3 linked regions of the Arabidopsis thaliana genome follow. The protein of the gene in region 1 interacts with the protein of each later gene in a pairwise test. Each region holds a gene or a part of one and is shown in the gene's direction. Other genes may lie near its edges. The genes, in order: OFP10, bZIP48 and AT1G72570.

Evidence for each region.
Region 2: the proteins of OFP10 (region 1) and bZIP48 interact in a two-hybrid assay, tested with the Arabidopsis thaliana proteins (one large-scale study listed by BioGRID).
Region 3: the proteins of OFP10 (region 1) and AT1G72570 interact in a two-hybrid assay, tested with the Arabidopsis thaliana proteins (one large-scale study listed by BioGRID).

Annotation. Positions count from the first base shown.
Region 1 is NC_003076.8:7,362,762-7,366,003, forward strand, and holds OFP10 (Ovate family protein), read left to right. Parts: upstream 1-1,927; coding exon 1,928-2,518; 3' UTR 2,519-2,665; downstream 2,666-3,242. Other genes in the region: E2F1 (E2F transcription factor 1), read left to right, coding at 61-111, 189-237, 325-390, 471-544, 630-900, 1,031-1,100, 1,217-1,359; CAF1b (Polynucleotidyl transferase, ribonuclease H-like superfamily protein), read right to left, coding at 2,844-3,242. UniProt on the Arabidopsis thaliana protein: Transcriptional repressor that may regulate multiple aspects of plant growth and development through the regulation of BEL1-LIKE (BLH) and KNOX TALE (KNAT) homeodomain transcription factors.
Region 2 is NC_003071.7:1,329,770-1,332,931, forward strand, and holds bZIP48 (basic leucine-zipper 48), read left to right. Parts: upstream 1-2,149; coding exon 2,150-2,650; downstream 2,651-3,162. Other genes in the region: AT2G04137 (phosphogluconate dehydrogenase (decarboxylating), NAD-binding domain protein), read right to left, coding at 2,414-2,593, 2,756-2,839.
Region 3 is NC_003070.9:27,329,550-27,334,312, forward strand, and holds AT1G72570 (Integrase-type DNA-binding superfamily protein), read left to right. Parts: upstream 1-1,831; coding exon 1,832-1,919; intron 1,920-2,014; coding exon 2,015-2,612; intron 2,613-2,791; coding exon 2,792-2,874; intron 2,875-3,000; coding exon 3,001-3,009; intron 3,010-3,165; coding exon 3,166-3,254; intron 3,255-3,484; coding exon 3,485-3,558; intron 3,559-3,661; coding exon 3,662-3,712; intron 3,713-3,813; coding exon 3,814-3,890; intron 3,891-3,970; coding exon 3,971-4,149; downstream 4,150-4,763.

The DNA of each region.
Region 1 (3,242 bases):
AATTTTCCTTCCCTTTTCTGCTGTTTTGTATCATCTTTTTGAGAGTCGACCTGGTTGCAGAGAATCACAAGAAAGATTAACAAGCTTGAGTGAGGATGAAAACAACAAAAGGTAAGCGTCCCCTGCTATTTCTTCTGCCGAAAGGTACAATAAAACATATCTGTTTGTTCTGACGCTCCACTTTTTAGGTTACTGTTCGTCACTGAAAACGACATTAAGAACCTACCATGCTTCCAGGTCTGGTCTCCTTCTAGTAATTACGTGTTTCTCTTTGCCTTGCATTCTTCTCACTGGGGAAACATGTTTTTGTGGTGCCTATTTTAGAATAAGACGCTGATAGCTGTAAAGGCACCGCATGGAACAACTCTTGAGGTTCCAGATCCTGATGAGGTAAGCTTAAGAGCGCACAAAACCAAATGAGCGATGCACTGTCTGTAACGATTCTCACCTCTTATCCTGCCATTAATCAGGCTGGTGGTTATCAGAGGAGGTACAGAATCATTCTGAGAAGCACAATGGGACCAATAGACGTGTACCTAGTCAGGTAACACTGTCCTCAAACGTTATGCTTGCCCTGGATAAATCTGTAACATGGAAGTGAGACTGACATTTATATTGTGCTTTTTTAGTCAATTCGAAGAGAGCTTTGAGGACATTCCTCAGGCTGATGAACCTTCAAATGTTCCTGATGAACCCTCTAATGTCCCTGATGTACCTTCAAATCTTCCATCAACATCTGGTCTCCCTGAGAACCATGATGTATCTATGCCGATGAAAGAGGAAAGCACCGAAAGAAACATGGAAACACAGGAAGTTGATGATACGCAAAGAGTTTACTCTGACATCGAATCTCATGACTTTGTCGATGGTATCATGAAGATTGTTCCTCCAGATTTGGATGTAAGTCCCAACTGCTTCCTCAGCTTAAAATTTTCACCAATGTACATAATCACAGTCTGGAAAAGTAACCATATCTAAAAAATCATGCTTGACTTAATTCATATTTACCTGTATGTTACATTATATACAGATGGGTGTAGATTACTGGTTTCGATCAGAGGTAGGCGAAGTCAGCATCACAGACATGTGGCCAGATGAATGTATCCTTGATTTCTATCACTTTCTGTGATTTAATCTAATCTCTCTTTGAGCTTTTGAGTTTTTTCCTCCCCAAATATGATATCTGTTTAGAGCTCCTTGACTCTTTCATCATTAGCTGGACCAGACTGGAACCAGATGATTACATTTGATCAAGACCACGCTGGACCGAGCGACAACAAAATCTTGGAGCAGCCACAAACTCCATCGAGCCCAACACCAGAAGAATCCACTGCTACGAGATCACCTACAGGTAGCTGAAGTTACCATACCACATTACAAGCACCACCATATATCTGTACATAGAATCTGATTTCGGTGAAACCAGAGTTAATGTTGTACTTGTACAGTAGCTGCATTGCATTATCATAGAATAGAGATTGCAAAATAAAAGTAGAGAAACCAACCCCTTCGTTGTATTCTTCATTTTTTTTCTTTGTTAGCTTCTCAGGCTTAATATAGAATTAGCCTTAGCCCATTGATTTCTTAATATTGGTCTTGTTCATGTGAAACTGCAAAACCTTTTAGAGTTGTAGACGGGTGCTTAGTAGTTTTACATGCTCCATTTCCGGTTTACCAAAAAGGTAACCAGATCGAAACTAAAACATATTTCCGTTCATCAAAAATCTTGACGAAAACATATTGGTTCGGTTGTGGTTTGAGAGATTTCTTTTTGGTTCAAATCGGTTTCTATGTCCAATCCTTTGATATCACTCGAGATAGTTTCTTACAAATGATATCATATATAACTTTGAATTCACCTCAAGATGGTATTATTTTCCTTAAAAAAGAAATCCATCAAAATTGTGCATCTCCAAAGCAATGAGCAATGCTGAATCTCCAAGCTAAGTTAAATGAAAAAAAGGTTCCTCTTTTAACAAACTTTCCCACACCAACATCCTCACTCAATAATCTCAACTTGTTTTCTCTTCCTCTAGTAAAAAAAAAAATGTCTTTCAAGAAGATGATGAAGTATATACTCAAAACCATATTCAAACCCATTTTTATGGCATGCGGTTGCGGCTCTACCGTTCCACCTTCCTCTCACAGCCACTACACCCCGGGACCACCGGTTTCTCCCACGGTTTTACGCAGCCCATGTCCTAAGATCGATGAGAGCGTCGCGATGGCTAAAGAATCAATCAATCCGTTCGAAGATTACAAGAAGTCGATGAATCAGATGATCGAAGAGAGATATATCGAGACGGAAAGTGAACTTAAGGAGCTTCTAAGGTGTTTCTTGGACATAAACCCTTCTCCTCAACACAATCTCATCGTCCGTGCTTTTGTCGACGTCTGTTCACATCTCCAACCACCACACGACCGACGTGGGAAGTCACTTGGGAGATTGCTTCGTCTATATGTTAACAATCCTCTTGATAACAATGATGATGACTCACACCAAACTTCTTCAAAATGAGGAACTAAATCCTCCTCATATCTCTCTCTATATATAGATGTTACAATATTGTGAATAATTTCAATTTATGATTCCATGACTAGATGTAAACTATTAAACAACACCAACAAAAATCAAAGTTATACCTCAAAGCCTAGCTCTAACGTAACGATAATATTTTACTGCACAAAAAGTTTTGAAGTGTAAATTGGTTAAACAAAACCAAATTGAGTTATTTCGTTTTGGTTTTTGGATTTGGTTAAAACGAGAGATGAATAAGATAATTTCGATTTCGACTGTATAAATGATTAACAAAGATTAATTAAATTAATTAATTATAAATCCCTCAAAAAACCTCTAAACCATACAAAACTCCGGCGTGTTTCTCCGCCCCATCCTCAACGAAATACAAATCCCTCATCCTCTGAAACGCCTGCCACGTCAGCAAACTATCCGAACCGGCTTGATGACATTTCCCAACCGCCCGGTTAACTTCAAGAGACCGAGCAACCCGGTCCAAACCACCATACAATCTCTGCTCACAAAACCTCATAATATGTTTCACATCATAAACCCTATCACCGAAGAAAGCTCTAAGCAACCCTAAAAACTCACGCAACGCCACCGGAAGCTGCCGGCGCGTGAGAATCTTCACAAGGTAACCAAAATCATACGCGCTGTGAAACGTCACCCAGCTCACAGACTCGTTACAGATCAACCCCGATGACATCATCAGCTCCGCGAA
Region 2 (3,162 bases), on another chromosome or scaffold:
AAAATATATGTATGTCTATATTGTAGGATCTACTAGTAAGGCATAATTTGGATGTAATGCATACAGAAAAGAACGTGGCTCACAGTATTGTATCCACATTGTTGCATTGTGGAAAATCTAAGGATGGTCTTAATGCACGTAAGGATCTGCAACATCTTGGTCTACGACACGCTTTGCATCCTACCACACAAGGAAAGAGAACATATGCACTTAGCTCCTGTATTGCTTTATTTTGTGCTTGAGACTTTTCTTATGTATTTTGGATCTAAACTTATGTTTAATCAATGGTCAATGTATGAGATTTTATAAAGCAGGTTATGTGTTATGTGTACTATAATCACATCTCAGAAAATGCTATAAGAATACAGGTAATAGAATATTTAACATATGACTAATGCTATGTTTTAATCATCTATCGTAGCTTATAAATTGATATAAGAACATAACATAGCACATAATTTGACTAATTATTTTCCAATTGAAAAAAGGCAAACCACGATAAAACAACATTTCGCAACAGCTATATTAGAGATATATAACATAGCACGAAAAATCAAATATTATATAATTTTTTTAAGAAAATTAAACGTGATAATACAACTGTTCTTTATAGCTATGTTATTAAACTATAACATAGCATACTGAACTCACGCTACTGTATGTGAGGTACCTATAATAACAATGCCCTAAAATAGCGTTCATGAAAAAGTTATTAAAGACATATTATAGCATTTTTCTCGTGATAAGAATGTCCATTGTAGTGTAAAAGACATAAAAAATAACATAATACACATAAAGACACTAAGACTTCTAAAATTCAAAAGACTCACTTGGACACTAAATGCAACAAAACTCACAACGAAAAATACTATGACAAAAATCATATCTTTTATATATTCAAATTCATTATTATATTTTCCAAAATATTGAAACAAACGAGATCCTATGTAGAATGGGATAACGCAACAAACATCAAATTACGTTTTTTAACCATAATTAATATTCATAAATACTTCTTAATCATTAATACAAATATTTTTATTAATATCATAATTAAACATAATATATCATGTTTTCGGTTAATCCTCTAAATTTGCTATGATTAGTTTCTATGAATTGATGAATTTCTCTGCGTATCAACATGTCTCACTCTCTAGATATCAACGATTTTAACATTGGATGAATTATTGTCAAATTTATTAATTCGATTGCAAAATTACATTGAAATATGATATAATAAATTAAATATATAAAATTACAAAATAAACTTATTAAATAAAATATATTATAATTATAATTTATGATATAAATTAACAAACTAAAATTTCTACACATATTTCTCCACGATGTAGAGTGTGGGTTCTTATTTAATGATCACTTATAAAGGAAAACGAATGAGGGACAAGTCAGTACTTAATTACTTTAGTTAGTTATATTTTAAACAATAGACATGTCGAATCTTTTAAGTTAAATGCATATAATGGATCGAACTTGGCGCTCAAACGTATCCAATCTTTTAATTAAAGTTTAGCCGCATCACTCTCTCTCTCTCTCTATAAGTTCATTCTAGGGAAGGGAAGCATCCAAACTTGGTTGCGACAAGACAAATGCTAAGGATAGATTTAAACTAAAAGATATGAAAATTTTGTATTAAACATTGTATTTTTTTTTACTGCGTATTAAACATTGTATAAATATTTTTTTTTAATATAATTTACCATAAATTAAAATAAAAAAGGGTTTACGTGTATAAATCTAGGTTACAAAAATAAACAACTCAAGTTAACTATTATTGGGTTTAAATTATATAAAAAAACCAAAATTTTAAAAACCTTCTCGCAGTTTCTGCTCTCACTTCCAATGAACAAGTTATATATAAAACACTAACAATATTTTTGTTATGACTAAACTCTTTCCATTTCTTTGTCCATGTTCCACCACTATAAATTACGAATTATAGCATCGCATTTTTTCTTCTTATTCTATGCTCTTATAATCCATAGGACCCACTTCTACATGATTCTCCTACAACCCCATTATAAAACCCTTGGTCCACTTCCTCCTCTTACTTCAAAACTAACTTCCCAATTCTTCACACAAAATAAAAACACAGAAACTCTTACATACTCATATAAACCAAACTAAAACCATGATTCCGGCAGAAATCAACGGATATTTCCAATATCTATCACCGGAATACAACGTAATAAACATGCCTTCATCTCCAACCTCTTCCTTAAACTACCTAAACGATTTGATCATCAACAACAACAACTATTCCTCATCATCCAACAGTCAAGATCTCATGATAAGCAACAACTCAACTTCCGACGAAGATCATCATCAAAGCATCATGGTACTCGACGAGAGGAAACAGAGAAGGATGCTTTCGAACAGAGAATCTGCAAGGAGGTCAAGGATGAGGAAACAGAGACATCTTGATGAACTCTGGTCTCAGGTAATAAGGCTTCGCAACGAGAACAACTGTCTTATCGATAAGCTGAACCGCGTATCGGAGACTCAAAATTGTGTATTGAAGGAGAACTCTAAACTCAAAGAAGAAGCTTCTGATCTCCGACAGCTTGTTTGTGAACTGAAATCTAACAAGAACAACAACAATAGTTTTCCAAGAGAGTTTGAAGATAATTAGTATTACTCAAAGTGTCCAACTTTATCAGACAAAACGTAATCTATTAACACAATCAAAAGCAGAAAATTTTGGTTTTTATACCTTGGAGAGTGTTCTGTTCTATACAGTGACTTTGAATCCGTTCTTCAATATATTCATTGACATGGACTTTCCCATGATTCCCAAACCCATAGAAAACCCTACTTCCATTTTATCTATCTTCTGCGATTATAGACTTATAGTGCTTACTGCTTAGTGATAATGGTCTAAAATAATGAGACATTTCTAATCAGGGAGCCATTATCATCAAATACTTACTTGAAAAGGAAGTATTTACAGTTTACTCCCTAAACTTTGATTCTTTTTGCATCTCTAACTGGCAGTTTAAGAACGAACAAGATTTCGCCACGTGATTGAAATTTGGCTAAAACTCCAGTGTCATTTGGAATCTTATTTTACTCCAGTCGGGCACGTTAGAAGTTCTCAATCAAATTTATTTGCGGAGTACTAATCTGAATTTACAAAATATTATT
Region 3 (4,763 bases), on another chromosome or scaffold:
AATGCCTTGAATTAGTATCGTCAGCTAGCTTCTCTCCTTCACTGTTCTCTTCCCTTATCAGATTTTGATGCGAAGAAGAAAAAGACGAAACTTTTAGTGGGTTTCGCTTGAGAGCTTACCAGAAAGTAAGGATCGTGGCGATTTTAGCGATCGGATTTATGAGAGTGGGAGATATAGTAGAAAAGGGATTATGGAAACCCTAGTTTGGGTTTCTCTTTGAATTCAAAGAATACTTTTTTTTGGTGAGTTTCTAGAAAATTTCCCTTACGGATTTATAAATATGAGGAAAATTGTGAGACTGGAGAGAAGACGGAGCTGTAGGGTTTTTTTTTTTTTATACACAGATTTTTATTAGCTTGCAGAATATTTTCCCAGAGAACTATAAATATTATTGCCAGCGAATTGAAAATTAACCGTCATCTGAATTCAGTAAATCAGCCCATGGGCTTGAATCTCTCTCACCTTAGGCCTTAGGTGTTGCATACTGATAGATTAAGATAGACATGTATAAATGTTTTGTGAGTTAGCAAATATAATGGTGTTTTTTCACTTTCTTAATCTAATGTTTTATAAAACAAATTGTCACATTAATACATATAACTAAACTACTTACTGTGAAATTATTCATGGAGACAACTTCTGTAGCTAAGACCTCTCGATTTTTATTTTGTATACTACAAACTAGGTAATTGTAAGAAAAGGTTTGTTCTGTAATGGCATTGTCGATTACCTCGTAGAAGAGGTTGGAATATTTCCGATGCCCGTAGCAAGATATAAAATCACAAATTCATTTTTCAGTTGTTAAAGAAAACAATTGTGGCTTTTTGTGTAGAACGACATTTCGTTATGTGGGTGGCGAGTATGGACAAACTACCCACTAAGTCTTGGTTAACAGCTTGGAACACAATTTCATTTTCTATCTATAAGCAACATATGCAATATAATCAACCAAATAAGAGAGATCACTTATTCTTTTGTTCTATCATATTTTGTGTGTCTGTTTTCAAAGGTTATACCGTCACATTATCCGCTTCTCACACTTGAGGCAAATTTTATGAGTTAGATAGCATATTGCCAAACACTCCAGCTATATATATCTTTTATCTTTTAGATTGATCTTTGTCTAATCTGCGAAAACAGCAAGATCATTTCAGGCTTCTCCATCACAGTTAGAATCATTTTCAAACGGATCGATTGAATGAGCAATCAAAAACACATTTTTATCGTCTAAGGAGAAATTTCCTTGCAATACTACTAATTTTAGTACAAATTTTGTTTACTTTTAAATTATGTAATGTTCTTTAAGTTTATTAAAAAATATCCCAAATTATATCGAAAGAAAGACATTAATAAAAGAAATGTATTATTGTCTAATTAACATATTTCGAAAGAAACAAAATACTGACTTTTTTAAGCGCTACTGTGTGCTTTTTTTACGGAAAAGTTAATCAAATACCAAAGAACGAAAATTTTCATTGTAGTGTGTCATGTGTATCTCCCATATATATATACGTATACATCGAAAAGATCCGAGGGAGAGTGGGCACAAAACTCTAGAAGTCAGATGCAAGTGTGTGTGAAAGAGAATGTGAAAGAGTGAGGGAGAGAGAAACTTCCTCTTCCTTTCTTTCATGCTTACGACAAAACTTCACCGCCACCTGTTTTGTCTCAAATCTTTTTTCCACCTTTTTAATTATATAATTTATTAAATGTTTTAGACTTATGAAAAATATTAATGTATATTCGCACGTATGAGACTACAAATCATATAAAACGAAACCCTATACATATAAACTAAGAGCGAGAAAGACAGCTAGAGAGAGAGAGAGAGATGAAGAAATGGTTGGGATTTTCATTGACACCTCCTTTGAGAATCTGCAATAGTGAAGAAGAAGAACTTAGGCATGACGGTTCCGATGGTACTCTCTTCTTCACACATCATCCCCCTGGTATATATATGTTGTTGGTGTGGCCACTATTAATATTCTTAATTTGATTTCTATTTTATGTGTAGTTTGGAGATATGATATTAACTTTGATCATCATCATCATGATGAAGACGTTCCAAAGGTGGAAGATCTCCTCTCAAACTCTCATCAAACCGAGTATCCTATAAACCATAACCAAACCAATGTCAACTGCACCACTGTGGTTAACAGGTTAAACCCACCCGGTTACCTTCTCCACGACCAAACCGTAGTTACACCACATTACCCGAACCTAGATCCGAACCTTAGCAATGATTATGGAGGTTTTGAGAGGGTCGGTTCGGTCTCGGTTTTCAAATCTTGGTTAGAGCAAGGCACTCCAGCATTCCCACTCTCGAGTCATTACGTTACTGAAGAGGCTGGTACGAGCAATAATATTAGTCATTTTAGTAACGAAGAGACTGGTTATAACACCAATGGCTCAATGCTATCATTGGCTTTGAGCCATGGGGCTTGTTCTGATTTGATCAACGAATCGAATGTATCCGCACGGGTCGAAGAACCGGTTAAGGTAGATGAGAAGCGGAAGAGATTGGTTGTTAAACCTCAGGTAAAGGAATCCGTTCCTCGGAAGTCGGTTGATAGTTATGGACAAAGAACTTCTCAGTATCGTGGAGTTACAAGGTACGTACGTTATTAAATAATGACGTCTCAAACATTTGTTTTGGTTTAAATGATGTCTCAAACTTACACGTAAGAAAAATGTGAATGCCACAATTATGTTACTTATGTATATTTGTCATTTTATTTTGTAGATTATGTATAATTGTGTCGACACATATTTATGTTGTGCGTGTATACAGGCATAGATGGACAGGGAGATATGAAGCTCACTTATGGGATAATAGCTGTAAGAAGGAGGGACAGACAAGGAGAGGAAGACAAGGTCAGAAAAAACAAATACAAAATAATTTTCCGATTCAATATGCTATCATGCATCAATAATCTTACTAACAATTATTTAATTTTGGCTTCGTATGTACTTTCGAATTCGCTTCTTGATCAATCACAGTGTATCTTGGTAAGCCAGAACTTTATTTTACAACCTATTATGCATGAGATCCCTCGTTCATTTCTTGTTGCCCTATTTTTGGCCTTCGAAGTAAAAATTAACCTTGTTACCTTCTGATAATTATAGAAAAACATTTAATAGTAGAATTAATACTTACTAAAATAGGAGGGTATGATGAGGAGGAGAAAGCAGCGAGGGCATATGATTTAGCGGCTCTGAAGTATTGGGGTCCTACCACTCACTTAAATTTCCCTGTGAGTTTGATCTTTCTGGTCCCGTACCTAGCTCCACTTCTAACTCCTTTATTACATGCAAGTGTGTTTTATATATGTACACTTATATACATGCAACATAACAGTTTCCATACTTATTTCGATATTTTGGATCTTGAATGTAATCATTTTCCGATTTTATTGACTTGATTTTGATGGAACTACATAGATTTGGCTTGTGATATCAGTTCCTTTGACGCTCTTTTATTCAGTTGAGTAATTACGAAAAGGAGATCGAGGAACTCAATAACATGAATCGGCAAGAATTTGTTGCCATGTTGAGGAGGTAATTACTCAACAGTGGGTTTGTAATGATATTTATGGACCTTATATAGTCATATGCATTTAACCATTAACAAACGCTTTGTAATTACATATCATAATCATAGGAATAGCAGCGGGTTTTCGAGGGGAGCTTCCGTGTATAGAGGAGTTACAAGGTTTGATTTGGACATATATGTGAAACTTGTATATATTTATATATGTACATGTACATGCATGGAATTAGATCATGATGATCATGCATGTATAACTCATGTAGGCATCATCAACATGGAAGGTGGCAAGCCAGAATTGGAAGAGTTGCTGGAAACAAGGACTTGTACCTTGGAACATTTAGTATGAACCACTTCTATACATATGGAATTATATCATAGCCTTTGAATTATTAAATATCACATTTTGTAACTATGATGAAGGCACGCAAGAAGAAGCAGCGGAGGCGTACGATATCGCGGCAATTAAATTCAGAGGCCTAAACGCTGTAACCAATTTCGATATAAATAGATATGACGTGAAGAGGATATGTTCAAGCTCAACGATTGTTGATAGCGACCAGGCCAAACATTCTCCCACCAGCTCTGGCGCCGGCCACTAACCGACACCGTAAACTCCTCGCCGGAGAGACTATTCCCACGTACGGTTGGTTTGAGGAAATAAGTTCGTCCAGTCTGTTTAATCATTTATGGTTTAATAAACATATATTCCTAAGTAATTGAGGCCGGTCTACATATATACAACTTTTTTAGCAAATTAAGTTATCAGAATCCACTATATATTATTCTCTATGATATACTTTGATTAAATTTCGTTTTTATTTTTAATTGAAAAAAGTTAATGCATTCATTATTTACAGGATCCATAACATAAGTGTTAATTAATTAGTATATATTAACTGCACCAAGTTGAGGAGAGGCGATTCCTCAATTTGTGTGCCTTCTTCTGTCGTGGTCGTACTTTAAGGAAAAGCGTTACAAATTTAAGTGAAACTTATTTAACTCATAATCAAATCCATCCAAGCCTTTGATAGTTTGATTAATTTTGAACCCGTATCGAGCTAATTCCCTCATGCCATGGTGAAAATAATTGGTGTCAATGGAAATTTGAAGGTTTCTATGGACTTCTTGAGATAAACTAAAGTAATATCAGATGTTAAAAAAAAAAAAAAAACTTTTTATATAATTTTTATTTTATTTATATGCTCGGTTACAA